2 linked regions of the Saccharomyces cerevisiae S288C genome follow. The protein of the gene in region 2 interacts with the protein of the main gene of each other region in a pairwise test. Each region holds a gene or a part of one and is shown on either strand. Other genes may lie near its edges.

The links. The genes of interacting proteins can lie anywhere in the genome.
Region 1: the proteins of ERG26 (region 2) and ERG24 interact in binary tests that used the Saccharomyces cerevisiae proteins (3 or more experiments, as listed by UniProt).

The regions. Positions count from the first base shown.
Region 1 is NC_001146.8:108,586-112,354, forward strand, and holds ERG24 (delta(14)-sterol reductase), read right to left. Parts: upstream 1,827-3,769; coding exon 510-1,826; downstream 1-509. Other genes in the region: HCH1 (Hch1p), read left to right, coding at 1-343; pheromone-regulated protein PRM1, read left to right, coding at 2,332-3,769. UniProt on the Saccharomyces cerevisiae protein: Delta(14)-sterol reductase; part of the third module of ergosterol biosynthesis pathway that includes the late steps of the pathway. ERG24 reduces the C14=C15 double bond of 4,4-dimethyl-cholesta-8,14,24-trienol to produce 4,4-dimethyl-cholesta-8,24-dienol.
Region 2 is NC_001139.9:494,892-498,224, reverse strand, and holds ERG26 (sterol-4-alpha-carboxylate 3-dehydrogenase (decarboxylating)), read left to right. Parts: upstream 1-1,722; coding exon 1,723-2,772; downstream 2,773-3,333. Other genes in the region: EFM5 (protein-lysine N-methyltransferase), read left to right, coding at 191-225, 288-766, 860-1,092; ERP6 (Erp6p), read right to left, coding at 3,058-3,333. UniProt on the Saccharomyces cerevisiae protein: Sterol-4-alpha-carboxylate 3-dehydrogenase; part of the third module of ergosterol biosynthesis pathway that includes the late steps of the pathway.

The DNA of each region.
Region 1 (3,769 bases), on a different chromosome or scaffold from region 2:
CAAAATTGAGTTAACCCAGGTGAGTAGCATCACCGGTGACTCCAACGTATCTCAAAGGAAGGGCAAGCCGATTTGCTACTTTGACTTACAGTTGTCGATGAACGTCAAAGTGACAAATTTGGATACTAATAAGGACGACGAGGATGATGACGGCATACTTGCGGACGGGAAACTAGAAATTCCAGAGTTTATGCATGACGAGTCTGATATTCCGATTTTGTCGCAAGGGTTTGATGCTTTTGATGGATTGGTTAGGTCTGAATTTGTCCCTAAAGTAGTGGAAACGCTACTAAAATACCAAGATGACTTGATTAAAGAACACTCAAAGGATATACAAGTTTGATGTGTTCATGTAACGAAAAGGGGAGCGTTGCATAGATAGACCACCGCCCCTTTTAATTTTTCCAGCGTTTTCAATTGTTATTCTTCTTCTTCCTCATACTCACCCAATACATAACATGTATACACACATACATAGATAATGAAGAAAATAGCAGTGGTAGAAAAACTTAATAAACATATGGAATGATCTTGTAAGGAACTTTTCTTTCGTATTCTTCCCAATTTTCGCCATATTTCAGGCGGCACTTGTGCTCATCACGTTGTTGACGGTGTAATAACAACGTGGCGAAGTACAACGAGTAGTAATATGTCAAGGGAGTTTGGAACCAGGTGGCCAAACACCAACTTAATGAAATCAGCCAATCGCCAAAGTAATTGATATGCTGTGATTTAGCCCACCACCCGTCACATAATAACTTTGTACCACGCTTTGTCTGAATACTTTTTAGATTTTCTAATTTACCTTGTCTAAACTCAGATTTTTGCTTATTTGCCGAGTGGAAGATGTGGAAACCCAAAAACATTATGGCTAATATACCGACAACTTTCACCCATCCCAATTCCACAGGGGAAACACTCAAGTAACGCGCTTGTAATGAGTAGGTGAATGGAACTAAACTTAAGTCACCAAACGCTAGCATGAAACCAAACCCATCTGTAGTGATATCCATCATGGTTAATACACCTTCCTCGTTTAGTACTCCATCGAAAATGTAAAATCCTTGCAAGAAATTAACCAAGACCAATGCATCGTTGATTTTACCAGTCTTCAGGTAATGGTGATGCAGACAGGAAAGATTGATCAGTAACCATAACAACATGCCGGGTCTCAACTCTGAAAACATCTTGATATCTAATGGGCCGAGACGAGGGTTCAGTTCTCTACCAATAAACCAATCGTAAATGATGTTTCCTGAATTTCCACCTAGTGCTAAGATCTTTTCCCTTTTGCCATTACCATTTTTCTTGAAGATCAATGGTATGAAGCTGGCAACATAGCAGTACGTCGCCAAAAAGAACGAAAACAAAATAGATATTATGCATAAACTAACGTGATTTTCATACAGATATTGCAATTCAGGCAATTGTCCATCAGTCAATTTCCATCTGATAGCCAAAACTAAGACCAAAGTTGTAGACATGGCAATTCCATTGATCTTATACGAAAGCTTCGAACCATCCCTTAACTGAACACCCTTCATGACTCTGCCCGGTAAAATGACGTCCAAAACTGCCAGTATTCCATACCACAGGCAATAGACAGTCCATAATTCACGATTGCCCAGATAGTAGCGCAATGGCTTGATACCGTTCCAAAGCTCAACTATATCGAAATTCTGGAAAAATCCCTTAATAAAATAATCGGGCCTTATCATTTGATTCAAGATGATAGTGAAAACAGGCAGCCCTATGCTGATGCCTAAGGCACCAATCAGCCCACCAAATTCAAACTCTGTAGTTCTGGGATTCAAAGCTGATACCATCCTTTTATTCTCTACACCGAATTTGTCTTTACTCCTATGCTGTTTACAAGGTCTATCTGATAAGCAATTGCGCAAGAAAATAGTAGAATGAAAACTGATTATTAAAAACAAACGTAAACTCAAGCCTCACTTGATGCTCAGACGGAGTACGTGAAAAACGTCCGTTATGCAAAACCCTTTATATGCACAACCTTCACACAATGCAAATTTCCGATGATGCCTACATACAAAAGAGCGAAAGGCGATATAAATTTTTTTCACGGGATTTTCGTTTAGGTGAAAATAAAATGAACGACAGAGCATGCAGAGTCCGGGTAATACATATGTTTCAATACTGTTTCAATACTGTTTCAGAAGTGCGTCACATATTAATTTTAACTTATAACTGGCCTGTTGCTGGCAAGAGGTATATATATATGACGAATGTGACCAACATAAGTCCTTAAGATAATCCCGAAATATTTGGTTAGGATGATTCCCTTTCGAATTTGTGAACGTTGATGATATGAGCGGTTTTAAATGCTATTTGCAATTGGGTGACAGGCTCTCTCAAATATGGCTAAATAAGTATACTTTGGTTTTGCTGCTAGCAATGCTGAAGCTTCTGTTTTTCTCCAAATCCATACAACATGCGATAGAAGTCTCGGAAACGTATATTTTGTCCAATTGTTACAGTATTGATTCACTATACTCCAAGATGACAGACAACACGCCGCACTATTTAGGTATCATGGGGAATTATCTTATCGAGAAGGGTATGGAGGAGACTGTTAAAGCTACGCTAGAGACGTTATCACTTATAGTATATGCGAGCGAGGGGCTGGTAAACTTTGCCATTGACCTGTATTTGGGCACTTATGCCTGTTTGATTGTTAGTGCCGTTGATGGTACCGTGGACGTTGCTACTAACATTACAGAAAAACTGATTAGCTTAGTCAATGATACAGTTTCAAGTGTGGCTAATGAATTGGATACGGGCTTGAATGACATCTCCAAAATAATCAATAAAGTGATCAAGGCCGCATCCAAAGTAGAGAATTTTTTCACAGGTGATGACGATGACAGTAACATGACGTCGTCAATCAAAAGCGTCAACTTAACCATATCTGCGCTTCACAATTTATACATTCCTTCCTCAATCAACGATAAGCTTGAAGAGTTATCGGCAAAGACGCCGGACTTTGCCCAGGTTAAGAATACAACCAAGAACCTGATCTCGGTTCCCTTCAATGAAGTTCGGAAGAATATCAAGGCCGTGAATGCCAGCAATATAATCGGAGATACCTCCGTTTTGTACGTACCTCCCGTGTCCCTTGACAACAGTACTGGGATTTGCTCATCCAATCAATCAGAAATTTTGGCCTTTTATTCCATCTTGGGACATGTCCTGAAAATAGCCACCGTAGTGTGCATTACCGTATTGATATGCTTCGCTGTTGGTGCGATGGCGCCCGTTGCATGGAATGAAATCAAGCTCTGGAGGCGCCTTTGCGGAATGAGAGACCATTACATGCTGAGCAGGCAAGATTCGTATACGTCCTTTTCCAGTGAAAACACGCACGAATTGAAAGATCCATTTAGAGATCCTCCTATACAAAATGGCCAATATGATGTCATTGCAAGCTATCAGCAGTGCTTTCAAACATGGAACACAAGAATAGCAGGCTGGATGACAAATCTTGTTACCTTTGGAAAATCACCAGAGAACATTGACCCAAAGACTAAACAAAAAATAGAATGGGTAGTGGCTTATATGACCTCCGAAAGAGCACTGTGTGTTCTTGGAATTGGACTTTTGGGAATTTTAGTGTGCATATGCCAATTTGTCATGATAGCACTGTTAAAACACAAGATAAGCCATTCATTGACTTCTAATGATGGTGACGGCGTTCAAAATTTGCTGAAGTCTAGCACTGCCGTCGATATAGAGAACCAAATGAGCC
Region 2 (3,333 bases):
ATATACATGTATATATAATTTCCCATTCATTTAGAGGCTTCTTTTTTCGTCTGTATCGCTGAACCTTATGCCGGTTAAATCTAACAAAATTTTTTTGAACTGGAGGAACTAAAAAAAAAAATATTAATCTTGACTAATATACTAATCAGTCACTTTACATCTTAATGAAACCGAAAGAATCACTGATAAAATGTCCGACTCCGACTCCGACTCCGATTATGAATTGTAAGTACAGGATATTTTCAACACAGTAACGTAGAATTACTAACTAACACGAAACTTAATAGGACACTTTCTGCTAATGCCCTCGCTGCCCTTGAAGAATTCAAAAGAGAGGAACAACAACATCAAGAAGCCTTTCAAAAGCTTTACGACGAAACGGATGAAGACTTCCAAAAGAAAAAAAAAGAAGAAGGGATGAAGCTTTTCAAGGAAGATTGGCAGCTTTCCCAGTTTTGGTACAGCGATGACACAGCCGCAATTTTAGCAGATGCCATATTGGAAGGTGCGGACGAAAACACTGTAATTGCAATAGTTAGTGCGCCATCCGTCTATGCTGCCATTCAAAAGAAACCTACTAATGAAATTCCAACCGAACATATCTACTTGTTCGAATTTGATAAGAGATTCGAGTTGTTAGCTGGAAGAGATCATTTCTTTTTTTATGATTACAATAAACCACTGGACTTCAGTGATGAAATTAAAGGAAAAGTTGATAGATTGTTAATTGACCCACCTTTTTTAAATGAAGATTGTCAAACAAAGTGTATGTATATCATAAACATATCCCTACTCATTTTTTAATCTTTTTTCCAGTATCTTTTCATCTTACTAACTGTTATTCATTGATATAAAATAGCCTCTATCACTGCAAAGTGTTTATTAGCGCCAAATGACAACTCTAAAACTAAGAAAGGAGTTTTTAAGCACCGCCTCATAAGTTGTACTGGTGAAAGAATGTCTGAAGTCATATCCAAAGTTTATTCTGACACAAGAATAACAACTTTTCTTCCTGAACATTCTAATGGTTTGAGTAACGAATTTAGGTGCTACGCAAATTTTGAATGTAGTTCATGGAAATTTGCTTCTTGAGCTTTTTAAGAGCTTCGATAAATTTGAAAATTAATTGTACTACATAAAAAATATGTAAACATCAATATATATAATATAATCACATTTCAAATATATCACGTGTTATATTTACTATATAAAAATTCAATAAATAAAAAGTTAGAAGATAAAAATTATATTATACATATTTTTATTTTTATTATAATTTTTGTTTTTGCCTTCCGAAAAGAAAATAGTTTTTTGTATTACGGAAATTACAGAAAAATGTTTAATTTTGATTTCATATTTTTTCTTTCTTTGAAAGAATATTGACGACAAAGTATTGGATAATTATAATGCAAGGAAAGGATATTTGTAGATCTTCGGTTCAATGAAAGTTAATGCGGTATGAATATTGCTTTCTCCAGGACCTTTTTTTTTTTTTAGAGGCTATTTTATTGTCGGTGTTTGTGGATTTTATATTTCTCGGTCCGATAGTCCCTATAGATCGTTTATTGTTCTCTCGAGAAATGGTATCGTTTAAAAATCTCATATAAGCCTGCAAGGAAAAGATTATGCTGCAGCTATAAAATAGAATAGACAACAATATAGATTGTCAATTTTGTCCAATTTTATTTGCAACTCTACCTGGAAGGGCAAACAAAAATAAATATGTCAAAGATAGATTCAGTTTTAATTATCGGTGGTTCTGGTTTTCTTGGATTGCACTTAATTCAGCAATTTTTTGATATTAATCCTAAGCCAGACATCCACATTTTTGATGTTAGAGATCTCCCTGAAAAACTTTCAAAACAGTTTACTTTTAATGTAGACGACATAAAATTTCATAAGGGTGATTTAACATCACCTGATGATATGGAAAACGCAATTAACGAAAGTAAAGCAAATGTTGTTGTTCATTGTGCTTCTCCAATGCATGGTCAAAATCCAGATATTTATGACATAGTGAATGTTAAGGGAACCCGTAACGTGATAGATATGTGCAAGAAATGTGGCGTTAATATACTTGTATATACTTCCTCTGCTGGTGTTATTTTTAATGGGCAAGATGTGCACAATGCAGACGAAACCTGGCCAATCCCAGAAGTTCCTATGGATGCGTACAATGAGACTAAAGCTATCGCCGAAGATATGGTCTTGAAGGCGAATGATCCAAGCAGTGATTTCTATACTGTTGCTCTTCGTCCAGCTGGTATTTTTGGCCCAGGTGATAGGCAATTAGTACCTGGTCTAAGACAGGTTGCGAAATTGGGGCAGTCGAAGTTCCAAATTGGTGATAATAACAATCTATTTGATTGGACTTATGCTGGAAATGTTGCTGACGCGCATGTGTTAGCTGCACAGAAACTTCTCGATCCAAAAACAAGAACTGCTGTCTCGGGTGAAACTTTTTTCATTACCAATGATACCCCCACCTATTTTTGGGCCTTGGCCCGTACTGTGTGGAAGGCAGATGGTCATATTGATAAACATGTTATTGTTTTGAAAAGGCCAGTTGCAATTTGTGCAGGTTATCTTTCAGAATGGGTATCCAAGATGCTGGGTAAAGAGCCAGGTTTGACTCCATTCAGAGTCAAGATTGTGTGTGCATACCGTTATCACAACATTGCTAAGGCCAAAAAGTTGCTAGGCTACACACCAAGAGTTGGTATTGAAGAAGGAATTAACAAAACGTTGGCCTGGATGGACGAAGGTTTGTAATGGCAATCGTTAGGAGCTTTTTGATCCGATTATCGAAAGATAGTATGTTGAAATAGCATATCTGATACGCACCGTATATATTTATTCTGTCTTTATAGATGAATAATAAGAATTGAAACACCTAAAACATCTTGATGACTAGGTTAGTATATATATGTATACACTCATTTAATGACTACACTATGAAGCGTCGGGGTAATGCATGTAAATAAATAGAAATAAATCATTGAAACAACGAAATTCTCATGTATGCCTGCTAAGGATTCAATTTTTTGATATGTACGGTCATAATACTTTCTGCTTAACAAAAAACGAGCGTAAACTTTTCATTTGCCATACACAAATTATAATGAGAAGAGTAACTTGAGTTACCGTCCACCACATTGCGCGAGAATTCACAGACTCTGATATGTCTCTAAAGGATTCTTCACGTTCTCTCATCAGTTGTTGCTCTCTCCTGATATCCACGATCTTAGAATTCAATATACTGACTTTTCCGTGCAAACTTTCCAAGGTTTCTTTTCTTTGCATGTCCAACATTGCTTCAAAACCGACTTCAAA